Linked DNA regions of Schizosaccharomyces pombe. The protein of the gene in region 4 purifies or fractionates together with the protein of the main gene of each other region. This does not show direct contact. Each region holds a gene or a part of one and is shown on either strand. Other genes may lie near its edges.

Evidence for each region.
Region 1: the proteins of ctr1 (region 4) and cwf11 purify together in Schizosaccharomyces pombe (affinity purification with mass spectrometry, with the first as the bait; one study listed by BioGRID). This does not show direct contact.
Region 2: the proteins of ctr1 (region 4) and tgs1 purify together in Schizosaccharomyces pombe (affinity purification with mass spectrometry, with the first as the bait; one study listed by BioGRID). This does not show direct contact.
Region 3: the proteins of ctr1 (region 4) and smd1 purify together in Schizosaccharomyces pombe (affinity purification with mass spectrometry, with the first as the bait; one study listed by BioGRID). This does not show direct contact.

Annotation. Positions count from the first base shown.
Region 1 is NC_003423.3:920,896-927,204, reverse strand, and holds cwf11 (protein Cwf11), read right to left. Parts: upstream 4,534-6,309; 5' UTR 4,481-4,533; coding exon 626-4,480; 3' UTR 564-625; downstream 1-563. Other genes in the region: gta1 (glutamyl-tRNA amidotransferase alpha subunit), read right to left, coding at 1-62, 109-355; TORC1 serine/threonine protein kinase Tor2, read left to right, coding at 4,921-6,309. UniProt on the Schizosaccharomyces pombe protein: Involved in mRNA splicing where it associates with cdc5 and the other cwf proteins as part of the spliceosome.
Region 2 is NC_003424.3:840,908-844,348, reverse strand, and holds tgs1 (RNA methyltransferase Tgs1), read left to right. Parts: upstream 1-1,723; 5' UTR 1,724-1,858; coding exon 1,859-2,028; intron 2,029-2,107; coding exon 2,108-2,223; intron 2,224-2,295; coding exon 2,296-2,441; intron 2,442-2,489; coding exon 2,490-2,777; 3' UTR 2,778-2,878; downstream 2,879-3,441. Other genes in the region: DNA repair WLM domain metallopeptidase Wss1, read right to left, coding at 265-1,053; taf1 (transcription factor TFIID complex, histone acetyltransferase subunit Taf111), read right to left, coding at 2,962-3,441. UniProt on the Schizosaccharomyces pombe protein: Catalyzes the two serial methylation steps for the conversion of the 7-monomethylguanosine (m(7)G) caps of snRNAs and snoRNAs to a 2,2,7-trimethylguanosine (m(2,2,7)G) cap structure.
Region 3 is NC_003424.3:4,519,631-4,523,021, forward strand, and holds smd1 (Sm snRNP core protein Smd1), read right to left. Parts: upstream 1,385-3,391; 5' UTR 1,361-1,384; coding exon 1,347-1,360; exon of another isoform or gene 1,304-1,346; coding exon 1,254-1,303; exon of another isoform or gene 1,198-1,253; coding exon 908-1,197; 3' UTR 557-907; downstream 1-556. Other genes in the region: etf1 (electron transfer flavoprotein alpha subunit), read left to right, coding at 1-441; methyltransferase Mtl16, read right to left, coding at 1,842-2,216, 2,273-2,362, 2,410-2,786, 2,835-2,989, 3,036-3,046, 3,125-3,200, 3,247-3,320. UniProt on the Schizosaccharomyces pombe protein: Plays a role in pre-mRNA splicing as a core component of the spliceosomal U1, U2, U4 and U5 small nuclear ribonucleoproteins (snRNPs), the building blocks of the spliceosome.
Region 4 is NC_003424.3:1,900,419-1,904,387, reverse strand, and holds ctr1 (protein ctr1), read right to left. Parts: upstream 2,313-3,969; 5' UTR 2,070-2,312; coding exon 1,182-2,069; 3' UTR 547-1,181; downstream 1-546. Other genes in the region: arb1 (argonaute inhibitor protein 1), read right to left, coding at 2,957-3,689, 3,751-3,969.

The DNA.
Region 1 (6,309 bases), on a different chromosome or scaffold from region 4:
AATAATACCGCCGGCTTTCTTCAAGCTTTCGACAATTGACGCATCAAACGGAGAATTGTAGTCTAGTTAAACCGCAATTAGTAACTGAAATATATTCTTATTGTCTACCCTTCAACATATTAGAGGCTGCCGTGGTTAAATTTGTCTTCGTGCAAATATTTTCCTTTACTGTAATCAGTTTCCATTTTAACGGAAGCTTCTTTTCCAGTGGTAATTTACTAATTTCAACAAATGAATCATATAGATATTCGGCACTATTTATTGAAGTTAAAGACTTAATTTTCGCATCATTTAGAATGATACTAGCATATTTAGCTGCAACTTCTTTTAATAAATTGTTATATTTATTACTCATTCGACCAATCAATCATTGGACGTTAACTTCGTGCAAATAATGTATTACCCAACTTGTTGTATAGTTGAATAAAGTAGTGAGCTATTATCGGTATGACACCTAAGACTTTTTCTGAGGGGATCAACTTTTTATTGTTTGTAAAGCTCACTATTTAGTTTTTTAAATAAGTTAATTATGCAAAAAAGCAATGAAATAAAATGACTTTAATCTTACAAATAATCATTAATTCAATACAACAAGCAAATAGTCTATATGAAGTAGGTTTTTATTTTAATTCGTATTTAACCTTTTTTTAGTCATTTCAACAACATAGTTTGAGAGATGAAGTAAATTTTCAATTTCAAATGTTTCAACGGAAGATCCGATTTTGTGAGAACTTGGATATATTTCTCCCGTGGTTAAAAGCAGCTTGTCAGGAGTCTTTTCAATTTCATTCCACAGTTTTTCAAGACCACGTGTAGAGCGAAAAAGGTCACGGTTGCACAATACGTACAGACCATATGAGCATGCTGAAAAGGCTTTATAAAATGTTTTTGGATTCCAATGATCAGAGGCCTCTTTAGATTCAACTGTCGTAAATATAACAAAGTTTACCCGTTTATCGCTTGGTAATTTTTCCACGGTACCTACAAAAGCAGGCTGACCAAAAAACGAGTTATGAGAACAGCGTACCGATATAATTTCATTTAAAAGGCTGACTTGACTCTCATAAAGCGTACAGATTACAATTTCGTTGGTGGGATAACCTAACATTCGCATGTACTGGAATAAGGCAACTGCGTACTCGGCTTCTCCAAGATTTTGCTTATAACCGCTAACGGGTTCTGTTTCTTGAGAACCTTTAAAAGCTCCCACATTAATAAATTGGACCTCATGTGCAAACCCCGAATTACCATAATCAAGTCTTTTATTGGGACTAGAATCCACAGTTTTGATGTCCAAAGGATAAATTGATGAACATAGAGAACTGATAGATTCTCTAACATTGTATTGCGTATTAAGGTCAATAATTCTGGATTTCAAATACCGCAAACGTTTGAAAAGTGAACCATTTGACGTATTATTTATATCCTGATTCCCAGAGGTAAGATATTGATTACCCAGAAGAACAAGGCGATCAAAACCAGTTGGTTCACAGTTTGAAAGTAGTATGCTAGTGATAGAGCTTTCACTTATATTTTGTGAGTTCATAACAATTAAATTGTTAAAGCAAAATCCCTTTTCTTTCAAAGTCCCTAAGCGTGTACTTAAGCTCGTCCAAGTGCATCCGATAATCCTAGATTGTTGGCATAATGCATACAATTCTTGATCTTCATAATATCTCAGTAATCCAAAAGGCCGGATCTCTTCCAGCTGTTGGAACATATATTCTAACTCCCCGTATAACTTTGTCGCATAATCGAAAAAATTATCTTTATTATACGTTTCTATCGGACGCTTAGATTTGTCACCGAAATACGAATGGAAAGGGAACCTGTTATAGGCATCCACAGAATCCTTATCATCTACCGTGTTCAAGTACTTTTCCCAAAGTCGCTTAATATAAGCATCCCTAAAATACAAAGCCGTATCTGGGCTGGCGTCATGAGAACCTGGAGCCTGGATTGAAGCAGCTAGGCGACCGATTTCTCGTAGAAGACCAGGAAGCTTAGATATCCAAGACGATAAAGTACCATAACGTTCCAACGTTTCGTCTTTTCCTTCATCAGATAGATATAATAGGTGCCCTTGGTGAAAACATCTAGCTTTTTCCAGTAAGGTAAACAAAGTATTCATAGAGAAATTGGAGTCAGAAAGTACAACGGTTCTATCATTGGGAGATGTGTCTTGTAAAACCTCTAGAAGTTTGCATACCAAAACATGTTTTCCACAACGAGTTGGACCATTAACCATAGTTAATCCTGGTTGAGATCCACGTAAAATCGATTCTAGCTGTTTGTCATTGTAAGTATATAATCGATTTGATGGTAGTAAAAAATGCCTATCAGATGCGGTAACATCAGCTGATATTTTGTTCTGATTAGTATAAAATTTGATTAGTAAAGATTCAGTTGATAAATTAGAAGGTACATGACAATTAGGAAGTACTGATTGCAACTGTTCGACTGTATTGAACAAGTTTCTAGCATAAATAGAATTAAGCCCAGCATTAGGAAAAGCACATATATCAGGCGTTCCAAAACCCAAAAATAAATCTTCGAACCATTTAGGAAATTCTTTAGCGCGATTAAGTAAAGATACAAGAATATTTAAGTCCAACCAATACTTATTTGCCTCAGGAGACAGTACCAAAGCAAAGTTGAACTTCAATTGCTTAGGGCGATATTCCCCCAACCCCGCAAGGGAATGATAATAAAATGGGCTTAGGTATACATTGATGGACTTGTTGTCAGAATCTGACTGCATATCGCTTTGAAACATTCCAACATCATCATTGCATATCGTCGCGATTGTAAAATCAGTCACCCCTTCTAAGGGGTCAAGCGCATTACCATGTAATAACTTGTACTCCATATCTTTAGAAATGTATATTAAGCAAAGAAAAGGGCTCTTGATGGAATTCTTTAAATCACGTAACGCTGAATGAAAAGGTCCAGGTCGACTTAAACCCATTTGACACTTTACAAATTGAGGTAAAACTTGACCGATTTGAGGTGGAGCAACGGAGGTAACTTTAAAGTTATTTAAAGAGAAAAAATTATCTTTGGTCAAATTCTTGGTCGCATTTTTAATTGATAGTCTCCTGTATTGTTCACTGAAATTTAAAAGTTCAGCATATAGTGACCTTAACAATAACTTTTTGTAAGCTTTACTCTGTTGTCTCATAAAAAAAGATATAGAAAGATATTGTATAGCAGTGTTTTGTAGTAGGAAGTAATTGGTCAAAGAGTTTTCTTGGTCCATCACGGATCGCTCACCAAGTACATCTTTCAAAGTAAAATTTATGATTTCATCATAATCATTTACCAATCTAGTCCTATCATACGTGTTAATAAAAACATTTTTTAAAAATTCGAAATCCACTTTTATAGCATATTTTTCGGGAAATGAAGTCCTCAAATAACATTTACTACACAAGGACTTAAGTGAATTGAAGGAAAGAAAAGACGTAATTTCCTCCAATTTTTGTCGCTGTTGTAAAGAGGTTTGTGTGCAAAATACCAGATCCCCTAATTCCTTCTGAAAATCCGAAAATAAAGTTAACTGTAAGTGGTAGTACACAAGCTCATCATTTCTGATTTTTTGTTCTTTCTCATATTCGTTACCTCTGGTATTATCAAAAGGGAATTTCAAAACATAGTTTAAGTCGTCTGTCATTTTTTTAAAAAGCTCATTACTGTCGTAATACAAAGACATTCTTAATGCGGTATAAAAACAACTGTCTTCTATTACGGGATGAGCAAAGCGACGTGTGGGAAATGCGGATAGTAAAACCAAAGACATATTGATAATTGCTAAAAGGGGGGTTACTTTCGCTTCTTGTTTTTCAGTTTGAGCGTAGCTAATCGATTTAATAAGCAGAGAATGAATCCAGCGGGAAAGTAAATTATGTAAAGGGAACTTTTCAACGATAGACGGTCGTTTTTCCTTATAAGAATCAAAGGCTTTCGTCAGAGAGCTTGAGTCATGTAGTAAATATTTTACTTTATCAAGATTATCAAGCGAATTTAAAATAGAAATGTTCGTTAACTGGTAAACAAGTTTCCTTAATTTCTCTATATTCGAAAACTGAAAACAGAGAGTAATGAATTGAATCATGTAAACCACTTCTGATAAATTTAAGGATAAAGAGACTTCAATTACTTTTTCAAAAAATAATTGAAACCGATTTTCATCAATGAGGTCCCATGTAATATATTCATATTTGGATTTGTATAATAGAAGCATACAAGTTAAGTTTATATGGTTCAATGACATCTCAGTATTAACCCTCTGCCAAAGGAAATTCTCAAAAAGCTTTAACTCATGTAACAGACTAAGTACTTGCTTAGCATCTTTACTTACAATGACAGCTTCGAGGATGCATTGTAGCATAGTTTCTTGAAATTCTACACCTTCATTTTGACCCCAATTCGAATTTGCATAATTAATGATTTGTTTTTTTTTGTTTTTATACAGAACCATTTAATAGAGAAAGGGATATTAGCAATATCACAAGTGTTGTGAACTTGGTGGTTAGCGTCAGAATCTTTAACAGCGATTCTTATTTGTTCTCCTCTATGAGCTTTGAGAAAAATGTAAAGTAAAAAACTTAAAGTAATACTTCGAAAATAAAATTTAGATAATCAACACTCGTTTTTGGTATTTTACCAAAGTTCCTAAGTTTAGACTTTTTTTAATAAAACTTGGATTTTTTGAGAACACTAAATATTAACTTGTATATCTATTACAAATAATTAATCGTCATAAAAATATTACTTTTTCAATCGTGTTTCTATTGATCTCCTCTCTGCGTATACTAAGAATTAGGTGCAAAAGTACAGCAGGTGCTTGTTTGGTCACCACCAACCACATTTAATAATTTTGTTTAATTGAGAGAATGATGCTAATTTAAGCTGTATATAATGAAAGAATTTCCTGGGTTGAAAAGCAGGAATGAAGAAATTCGCAATAAAGCGGCAAATGATCTTTATGAATATGTTATAGCTTATTCTCGAGAATTATCGGGCGAAGCTTTAGTTCAGTTTAACAATGATGTTAACAAGTACGTTTATACTTTAATTCACAGTACCGATCCACTCGATCGTCTGGCAGGCGTAACTGCCATAAATCGTCTAATTGATTATGAAGGAGAAGATACTACAAGGATTACTAGATTTGCAAATTATTTGCGTATTATTCTTCCAGGAACTGACCAAAAAGCCACCGTTCTTGCTGCAAAAGCTTTAGGGAGACTTGCAGTTCCTGGAGGTGCTCTAACTTCTGAATTTGTGAACTTCGAAGTTAAACGCGCTTTGGAATGGCTTCAAGGAGAACGTAATGAAAATCGTAGATATGCAGCAGTGCTTATACTTAAGGAGCTTGCCAAAAATACGTCTACATTAATCTATGCTCATATCGATTCAATTTTTGAGCTTTTATGGCATGGACTTCGGGATCCAAAAGTTACTATTCGAATAGCTTCGGCTGATGCGTTGAGTGAGTTCTTGAAAATCGTTAGGCAAAGGGATTCATCCATCCGTCTCCAATGGTATACAAGTATTCTCAATGAAGCTCAACGTGGTGTTGCACAGGGTTCTTCTGATTACATTCATGGTAGTTTACTAGTATATCGCCAATTATTTTTAAAAGCTGGAATGTTTATGCATGAGAGGTATCGAGAAGTATCGGACATTATATTGCAATTCAGAGATCACAAAGATTTGCTTATTCGCAAAACCGTTACAGAATTGATTGCTACACTCGCAGCTTATAATCCAGATGAATTTGTTTCCAATTATTTACACGTTTGTATGCTCCATCTACTTAATCTATTAAAAAAAGAAAATGTTAAGATGTTGGCGTTTGCCACTATTGGAAAAGTTGCCGTGGCTATTACTAATAGCATAATCCCATATCTTGACCCCATATGCGATTCAATCAAGGAAAGTCTAAAAATCCATATCCGTAATAAAAGTGCTTCGGATGCTGCAATTTTTCAATGCATTAGCCTACTTTCTATAGCACTAGGACAAGCCTTTTCAAACTATGCGTATGACCTCTTTGACTTAATATTTGCAAGCGGACTTTCTGAGGCTTCTTACCGTGCTCTCTCAGATCTGGCCCATAATATACCTCCATTATTACCAGTCATACAGGAACGACTATTAGATATGCTCAGCAAAATTCTAAGTGGTCGTCCTTTTATTCCTCCAGGATGTCCTCCCCAATATGTAGCAAGATCTTTAAAATCTTCAAAGAGTGCTTCCCTGAAGACAGGATTTTTTCCCAATGACGTCTATATTTTGGCTCTA
Region 2 (3,441 bases), 1.1 Mb from region 4:
CATTTCTATGTGTTTTTTTTTGAACAATACTTTCTGCCATTTTTTATGATATTTTGTTTTAATACATTTTTATTGGTTTATCAATCATTAAGAGATATATTAGTCTTTAAATGAAAGCTGTTTGTTTTAATGTATTCATTATTTCTCTTTGTTAATCGTGTTACTCTAGTACGAAATGTCCCCCAAAAAATGCTACAATTTAAAGGTGATTTGATTTTGTATACAAATTTTTTTCTTTTTTATGTATTTATTCTGTTGTCTAATTTATTCTACTACGAAATAGTTTTCCAAGGTTGTAGAGCTATTGTGATCTTTAGGCTTATATTCATTAGAATTGTCGACTCGGAGAAGTGCCGCTGCAATTCGGGCTTCCCTTCCGCGCATGCTTTGAGCTTGGGGTTTTGCAGGTGATTTCAAAAGCTCTAATCTTATGTTCATATCAGTTCCAAGCTTTTGTCCTGTTCGTGTAAGCTTCCGCTTCTTTGTTGAGGAAGGGGTAGGCTTTCTTCTGATTTTCTTTTTTCTTTGCAAAGATCCACCACAAGTTTCCACACCATGCATTGTGCTGCGTTCCAAAGTTATTCCGTTAAATACAACGGTGTTATAATTTCCTACTACATTGGCAAGGACAAATGAATCCCAAGTCATGTACTTTCCAGGGCCTTTATAACCTTTGGCGTAAAGAGCAATCAGGGCAGCTCGAAGAGTTGATAAATGACTGAAAAACCGACGATCGTGCGGCCCCTGCCAAATATGACAGAGTTCGTGTAAAAACACGTCCATGACAAATTCAAATGGTAACCATCGATTTGAAGCGTCTCTAAGGACAAGCTCAATACATTCTCCCTTATTCCAGTTTCTTCCCCAAAATTTTGCATTGTAAGCAACCTCATCCAACGAAGTGACTCCGAATCCATGCTCCTTCATAATAGGAAATGCCATTGCGGCAATTCTTTTTAAATAATCAGAAGATAGATCATGGAAATCTCCTTTTATAGCAGATATAAATCCTATTTTCTCATTTGGATGGTCATCGTCGTTTATTCGTAGCATAAAGCTAACACTTAAAAGGATACTCGTAGTCAGAATATAATATAAATACAATATAGCGATCATGGAGTTACTGCGTTTTAATATTTTATGGTACCGTCATAGGGCTTCTTGAATTCGCTTAACGAAAAATAATTTTCAAATGCAAATAAATAGAAATGAAAAACATTACAGTACAAAAATTAACATATTTTCACAATCAATTAATTTTCTGTTAAAATTATATTATTACCTTAATTTCAATAAGTTTAGTGAAATTGCTTCCTATCGATACAGATCGATGGCAACACCGATAAAAAATATGTAATAAAATATTTATTGACAAAAAATATATATATTACTAAATACTTTTCTAAACACAATTACTGACATCCTTTTTAACAAATTGTAAAAGGATTATAAAATGCTTAAATTGAATAAATTTTCTTATAAGCAGACAATGAGTTTTATTTAAATTGTAACATATCGATTCCCATGGTATATATATATATGTTGATGAAGGAAGCAAACGAAATTCGTGAATAAGTCAAAGATAAATTCTTTTTCATGTTTTTCATATTTAGCTGTATATGTGTCTGATTTCATTGCTTTATTATTCTGAAAGAGCATTGAACTTTTCATTCACAATTTTTGGAGTTTGAGTAACAAAACACCGAATTTTTTGAACACACTTCAAATTTCGTCAATTCAGTAACGGTTAATTAAGGACTTTTGGATTAGCAACGAATATCGATAAATTTCGGGTTGATCGTGAACGATTGTTGACTAAATTTCACAAAAAAGTAGTTTAATCGAAAAAAAAATTTGAATGAACAAGAACGAAGAACTCGACGAAGATGAGCTATTAAAAAAATGTATCATATGTCCTCCGGTTCCCAAAGCTCTTAAAAAATATTGGAACAATCGATACAATTTATTTTCACGATTTGATGAAGGAATCTGGTTGGATTATCAGTCATGGTATAGTGTTACCCCCGAGTATGTATAATAGCATTCATGTATTAATATCAGTGATTTTGTTGTTTGCATTTGAATGGGTCTGACAAATTATAATTAGAAAAGTAGCTGTTGCTATCGCGAAGTCGGTTGTAGATTTTATACAGCCCGAGCTAATAATTGATGCCTTCTCTGGATGTGGTGGAAACACTATTCAGTTTGCCAAGTATTGCCCAGGTTCGTTTGTAATAGTTTGTTATCAACCTTACATCTGTATCATATCACTGTTTATTAACGCTTTTGTTTCAGTAATCTCAATTGAGATCGATCCTATCAAAATCGCTATGGCAAAGCATAATTTGGAAATTTATGGCATTCCTTCATCTCGAGTCACTTTCATTCAAGGAGACGTTCTTGACACTTTTAAATCTTTGCAGTTTGCTAAAGATTACAGGGTATAGATAATCTTATATATTAATTCTGTGTTTAACAATATTTTCTAGTCTCTTGTTTTTATGAGTCCTCCTTGGGGTGGACCTAGTTACTCAGGAAAAACAGTATATTCATTAAATGACCTAAACCCATATGCTTTTGATGTTCTATTTAAAGAAGCAACTAGGATATCCCCTTATGTTGCTGCATTTTTGCCAAGAAACACTGATGTAAAGGAACTTGCAGCATATGGGAGTATTCATAACAAGCCTTATATTACCAATTTTTTATTTGAAGGATATGCCAAGGCAATTTGCTGCTATTTTAATATGAAGGGTGCTATTGCGCGAAAAATTTGAAAGTTTCAACTCATTTTCACGTGAAGTTCGTCAACTATATATTTGATTTCATAAACATAAATTGATTATTAACATTTTCTACAATGAATATCGTTATAATTAGATTCATCACCAATAAACAAAAAAGGAGCGATCGACGCCCATCATGAGATGTCAAATATTCTTTATAACACTCAGTATTATTTTAGTTTTTGTCGAGCATAGTAGCCAAACCTCCTTCAGGTCTACCAAATAAGGGACATATTTTGTTGGTCTTCATGTGGCCCACTTGACCACAGTTACTACATTTGCGAGTAGTGGGTTTTCGTCCTTCTCCGTTCAAGTTGATTCCTTCTTTGGCAGCATGTCGAGCTCTTCGTCGCTCCCAATTCTTCTGACTCTTGGCAAGTTCTTGTTCAAGACGCCTTCGGTTGCGTCTATCAATTGCTTCGTCTCCAGTTGGTACGACGGCATCAAGAGCAGTTGATTGTTCGTCAATCTCACGCCTCTTCTTCAGATAGGCATGGATGACTATCGGGTCATGAATGGTTTCCTGTTTACGTTCCAAATTTCCATTTTTGTCACGATAAAGTCGAACAATTCGTAAAACTTTATCAGAAGATGGAGTTTCTTCTCTCGTAGTCTCCTCATTAGATTCAACGTAATCATCATGTATAGAATTGAT
Region 3 (3,391 bases), 2.6 Mb from region 4:
GTTGAAGGTATTGATCCAAAACCAGCTGCTCTACAAGAATGGGTTAGTGAGAATATTATAAAGAATGCTAGGCCTGATTTGTCTTCTGCCGAAAGAGTTGTTGCTGGTGGTCGACCTTTGAAAGACAAAGAGACATTTGAACGCATCCTTACACCTTTGGCTGACAAATTGGGTGCAGCAATTGGTGCTACACGTGTTGCCGTGGATTCTGGCTATGCTGATAATTCTTTACAAATAGGTCAAACTGGAAAAATCATCGCCCCAAAGCTTTATATTGCTGTTGGAATTGATGGTGCTATTCAGCATCTTGCCGGAATCAAAGATAGCAAAGTCATTGCTGCTATAAATCGCGATGAAAATGCTCCTATCTTTCAAACAGCAGATGTGGGAATTGTAGGTGACTTATTTGAAATCGTCCCGGAGCTTACTGAAAAACTTTGAAAATCATGTTGAGGAATGATTCCTTATTTTTCATAATATCACATTTATTTCAAATTTCACATCTTTTTAGAAGTTAATAAAATACACGTTTATTTAACTGGGTACTCGTAATAAATTAAGGAAATTTTTGATGTAATATTTAATTATATACCAGTGAAACAACTCTGAAGTCGTTTTATACATACATTTATGAAGCCACCTCAGCAAAGCTATCGTAGGTTGATTATCAAACATTTCAACGTATGAGAAAGAAAGGGATTTTTTTAGCGGTCTAGATATTTAACCAGAGATAAATGATAGAAACATGGAAAACATAGAATACGCATACACTCTCAGCAATACTTCAATGTCATCACAAAGCAAATCTATTAAAAGAAAATAAAATGCAAAGGCCGATTGATATTGCCAATAATTTTAAATTCTCTGACAAAAATAAGGGTGCGAAAAGAGAATATTTTCATAATATTTAAAACCCACGAGAAGCACCGCGGCCTCTGCCTCTAGTTCCACGGCCACGTCCACGTCCACGACCTCGTACTACCTCTTTCTTCTTTTGTTTTGGCTTTGTGCTATCATCAATTAAAAGGGTATCAAGTGGTAACGAGTCTGGGAGGATGTAGTAGCGTATGTTATTTCCACGAATTGACAGAGTTTCTACAGGCACTGGCTCTCTACCTTTGACAGTCATTTTAACAGCTTTTAAATGGGTATTCATTTGCATATCAACAGAAGTAATCGTTCCGTGAACAATTGTGCCTACGCGATTTGGTAAGTTTGGTTCATTTATTATACGAAAGTAAGGCTTTACGTACCATTTTTTAACTCAATAGAGACAGTTTCATTCGTCAGCTTCATTAAAAAGCTAAACTCGTTAGGAATATGTATAGATTTTTTATCATACTTACCGTACCAACTTCATGGTGTGTGCTTTGGTGTTCCTGGCAACTGCAAAAATCAAGTATTATGTTCGACTAAAACACATCAACAATAGATAAAATCATCAATTTTATGTTAAGATATAATGGATTCTGAAGTTTTACTAGTCCAAAATAGCTTTGTGATATTAATAGGCTGATCTTCATGTGCATTTATTTTTCCAGTATCTGAGAATAAAGTTGAGAAGCTAAGACTTCTTAATACAGATTCGACTGTTGAAAAAGCTTGATACTAATTTTAATAATTAAGTGAAAGCACTCATTAGTCTAAATAAATGGGTTTCGAACCCAATACTCGAATGAGCTTTAAGGCATCAAATTTTAGAGATAAAATTATTATGTATCGCATGTCATTTGTTTTAATCATTTATTTTATACAATTTAAGACATTTTATTCAAATACAAAATTCAAAGCTTTGGCTATTCAATATAAGAAGATTACCAAGTGAATTTTCACGAATTGAATTATTTTTTATTGTCCCGTAAAGCTCGCGCTAAAGCTGAACAGAAACTTTCATAAACATTATAATCATATCCTTCAATCCATTTACACTGCAATTGATTATCTATTACGTTCAGTTCACATTTCATTTGTCCTTCCAGACTAGAAACAGAAGTTTGACTTTTGGATATCCGTCGAGCTTTACGAGACCAAGTGATAGATTTTGTTGATATTTCCAAAACGGATCCTTTTTTAGACCACGGAATTTTGTTATCATCTAAGAATTTCTGTAGAATGTCATCAATTTGAGCACATAATTCTGGGTCTAAAGTCCAATTCTGAAGAACCTTATGGGGGAAATATTTAGAAAGGGAAGTTGAAGAAGGACGTATAAGTTCCTTTGGATCCTTTTGTTAGTATCATGAATTTTAAATATCGTTCGATAGCAGCATACATTGTGTGGACGCATAGCCTGAAATGACCAGCAAATTATCCAGCGCTTAGTCTTTCCAAGTGCGAGTTCGTAAATTCCATAATTTGATATCTTACAGATATAAGTTAAAAAAATTTTAAAGGCTAGTTAGGACTTACATTTTGTTCACGCAATTTATCAACCACAGCAGGTACACTTGATTTTTTGCCAAACATACAGGTATACCATTGAATTCCTTTCCTTTTTTTACTTTCAGTTAAGATTTTATTGGCAAATCCGACTTCACCACCCTCTGTAACCATTTCATGATAAACTCCAGTACAAACACCCGATGGTGGATTTTGCTTAAAATTTATGAAATCTTCCTCATGTTCATAAAATGGGGGATTACACATCACAAAGGTAAATTCTTCCATCCCTTCGGTATCAGGGAGTAAGCAGTCTTGTTTAGAACGAAGCACAATTTTGATCTGGGATTCCATGTTATTTTGAAGAATATTGCTCTTGGCTGTTTCAAAAGAAAATTTGTCAATTTCTAGAGTTTTGAGTAATTAGTAAAAGCCTGTGAAAAATCAAAGCTTACCGGTGCCAACGAAATCATATGAGTACATACGACAGCCTAATAATGGGTATATACAACTAGCGCCGGTACCAATATCCAAACCAATGATTCTTTTTTTATCCTTTTGCCCAGATGTACTTGACAACAGGTCATGAATATATCTTATATAAGTGGCTCTGAAAAGTTGGTTATAAATGATGAATAAACAATGTGTTAATATACCGGTTTGGAACCTTTAAATGAATTAGCATTTATGAGAGAAGGGAAATGTTTGTTTAAAAGAAACATTGGTGATGCTACACATCTCTTACCATTGGACATAGACGATTCTCAGGAAATTCAACACGAAGAGAATAATCCCGATCCAGAATTGCTTTTCCTAACGTACTAATTTATAGGTAAGCAATCGTTTAACATATGTGAGTTTACCAACCGAATAGCATCTTCGTTCCAAAAATCAATGCGACCATTTTTGACGCTACGTTCAATTAGTATATAAATTGGCATTGAGAACGCCCTACAAAGATCTCAAGTCGGGATAATCCCTTGCTAAACTATCGAAATTTATAATATCAGTT
Region 4 (3,969 bases):
CTAGCAAAAATTTCGATAAACAACCAATCAGTTCCGTTTTTTTTATTCTTCTTGCTGAAGTTTGGTTTTTTATGTGTTTACAATTTTCAGCAAAATAACGCACACCACTACACTTCGTAAAGCACCGCTCGGGAATGCTGAGATTGCCCTGAATTCGACAGCGGAATTCAGTTTTACCTTATTATCTACCGCCATTGATTTACTGAAATTCAAATTACAACCCATACAAATCAATATCTTCTAGTGATCCAATATTAAAAACGAGAATAGTAACTTTAATAATATTCTCAATTGTTTTTACAAACGTACACGGTCGGTTATAACTGCTGTTTTGAAAGTCTGAGTCATATTCCTCTGTTTCCTAATTATCATTTTCCGCATTTCAAAACGTATCTTTTAGTTTTGTATATATACTTAGTTATGTTGCTTGAAGAAATTTTGTCTTTCCTTATCAAATTTGTGGTTATTTCCGCATTCACCATTGCGTTTCTTCTGATTTTGCCAACGTTGAGTGCTATTGTCTTGGACATTGTGGTATGCGGATACCTTGCTTTGTACCGACTTTATGAAATTGGAGGCGGTTGCATCCAAAAGCCTTCAAAAGCCGTTCACCCAAAGTCCTCTTAATTCCGTTACAGTCTTAGCTGGCTTTCGAGTTTTGATTCTTTTTTTAATAGATTGTCCTTCTGTTTTTTGTTTTTAAAACATATAAGTTGTTTTCTCCTCTTAATATCCTCAGAACGTTTCTTTGCTTTGATATATTTGGCCGTCCAGTTTATTTTTTTTCCTTTTTCTGCCGCCAATTAAAAAATTTATAAAAGAATGCTTAAGTAAAGCTGACCATCCAACTGGTTATTATTTTTCACTTGCTTGTATACTCTTGCTAATATGTTTTGTGCTTTTTTCCCTATCCTTTCTCCCTTATTAATTTTATAAATACGCAACAAAAAAATGGTTCTCCAAAATACATAATTTAATATTTCACATTCATACTGATTGTGAATTCAATAATCAGAAATAAATAATTCGTTAAAATAAAACAAAAAAGAAGAAAACTACTGCTGTTTTTGGTGATTTCGTGTTCCTTTTTTCCTACAGTACTATTACATTTCTCTGTTTTCGCTAAGAAGCTTTTGTTTATGAGTCGTTATCATTACGTTTTCATTTCATTAGTTTCTACCTCAATTATTAGAAAAATGTTCAGACATCCATCTCTCCCCCAACTTTATTGCATAGTCTCGCTCAAGAAATTTCCGCCGTTCTTCAAGTTTTTTGTCTCGTAAGGTTAACACATCTTCTGTGTTTTTTCTCTGCTGTTGTGTAACCTTAGCATGAATCTCCTTTAAAGATAGAAGTTGCTCTTCTCTTTCTTTTTCGTCAAAAGAAAACTGGTAAAATGCCGTACCTTTATTCCTTACTTCCTTAGTCGAGTCATAATGAACTGCTTGCTGCTCATCTTCCTTCCACAATTTTTGAACCTTTTCTTCGTCTACTTCGAAGGATGGCATATAGTCACCGTATATTGGCTTTTCGGGCTTGTACTCCTCCTTTTGTGAAAGTAGGGTATTACCGGTCTCGTAAATAGAGACACTCCTGGTTCGCCCAAATTCATCCGTTATTTCAACTGTTTCATTTTCGGGTGCTTCCTCAGCCCATTTGCGTGTGAAGTCGACAAGGATTCCATCATCTTCTGTCTCCTTTATTTCCAGTTCTCCGGCAGCATACTGGTCGTATTTTTTAGCTTTTCGTTCCAGTTCCAGACGACTTCTTTGCAACAGCTCTTCCTCATTAGCTTGTTCAGTTTTTAAAGTTCCTTTTCTTTCCTCGTCCTTTCTTTTTTTGATAATATTACTTTGAAATTCCTTGTTGGATTTTCTTTTTTGTTTTACCAGTAATTTCCTTTTGGTCGTCTCGTTATCATTGGCTTCCAATAATTTATCGGTATACTTTTGATGGCTAATCTTGCGCTTCTCGTCCTCGTATCGCTTTTTTTCCTCAATTAGTTCATTAAGGAAGTTAAGATTGCTTTTAGCTGAGACTTGAATTTCGGATTTCTTTCCAACATTCATCTACTCGATACTTCAATTTTTTTAATTAATTTAATAATTATTTTCAATTCTTTTAAATTATTGAGAATGTGTAAATATATCAAAACATTCAAGTTATTGCAGAAAGCCGTAGTTTGCTTACTCCTGTACAAAAATAACAGGTCCAAAAGAACAGCAATTACTTTCTTCAATTCAATTATGCTTCTACAATACACTTAACCCAGTAAAACAATTACCAATTTATTTTCGTCGTTTTGGAGTTGTAAGGTGTCTTTTCCTCACCTGGGTTATTTCGCCATAGGCGCTGCGTTTCGCTATGCTAATCACAACTTCCAATCCAGTTACTTGATTTCTATCTTTACCCAGCACGACTTGTTCAATAGTACAAGTTATGAACGTTATTGATGATTGACTATTCTTTTCCACATAACGTTTTAGCCTTCATAGAGGAAAAATACTTATACACGTAAATTTTTTAATCGTTTGTGTTTACAATTAAAAGTGAATACACATTATAGCTTTAAATGTTCTTTTGATCGTGTTTATTGCATTGAGCCTGACAGTAACTTAAGATTATTGAAAAAATCATCCGAATAATTCTTATTGCTCAATACTGACTCAGAAGCGACTTCTGCACGATCTAGCTTTCAAAATATTGTCGCATAGTTTGACGTATTTGTATAAAAATATTTGAAAACATTAAATTACATACACAAGTAATATCTATTATGTGATTGGGAATTATAATTTCTTATACTTATTGTTTATGCAATTGGGGGAAGTACGAACTCACCAACGGGTCATTAATATATGTTAGAACTTTATCCTCATCACAATAAGAAGAAGCAACTAATTAAAGGATTTCATATCCAGCTATATTACAAAAGTAACTATATTAAAATACAATGCTATTCATCTTTAACTTCTTCATAAAAGGTGGGTAGCACAGCAAGCACAGTGTCTAATATAGTCAGTCCATTATCCAAAAAAGTGAACGATCCCTCTAAGTGAGTGCCATCAACAGTGTTGTTCAGTAAATCAGATTCCAAAATTACTTCTAGTCTTTCCTTATTTGTATCTTGAGAATATTTAGATCCGGGTGGATCCCAAACGATAAACACTGCTTTGCATAAAGATTGGTTTGAAAAATTCAATAGCGTTTTAGAAACTAACTTGACTGTTAAGTACTCTTGTTCAACGACTTTCCCAGTCAAATATCGTGGACCAAGAGTTCTCTGGATGTAGTCGCGCGCTTGCTGTGTAGAAAATCTACTAATTCCATCAGGCTCAAATAGTTCATCATTTGGCATGAATTTGGTATTATTGGATTCAATGAAATTGACTGAACTATCACTTGTCCTATCACTTTGCGATTTGTCCCATAAGCCTTTATAATTGTCAACATGTATACTAGCCAATGCCCGCTGCAATCTACCGGGAAGTTTAGTTGATAGCCTCTTATTAGAAATTAATTCAGTTTCTGCTTGCTCTGCTAATAAACATGCGTCACGAATATTATCTTCGAATTCTGGTGCAACATTGTTATGCAAAACACTTAGCAGAAAATTTCTAACAATTTGACAAGCTATTTGCAAATCCTCTTCCTTAGTTAGTCCAGCGTTATACAAAATGTGTGACGACCTTAAATTGATTAGCTAAAATACAACGTGAATTAAATTCAATGGAAACATAAATGACTCACAGAAATACTCCAGCAACCCACTTAAAATCAATATCATATTCATCAAGTATATCGTATTCAATATAATCAGTCGTGGTTTGAGCGGAAACTTCTCGTGCCTTCGCATCGTTATTAATATCAGTACCCCCTGTAAACTGTTTTTGGCCCGTAGAAACGCCTCCTAAATCTAGATACATTGTAAACAGTCTTATTCTTGTAGGGTCGCTCCATTTTCTGCGT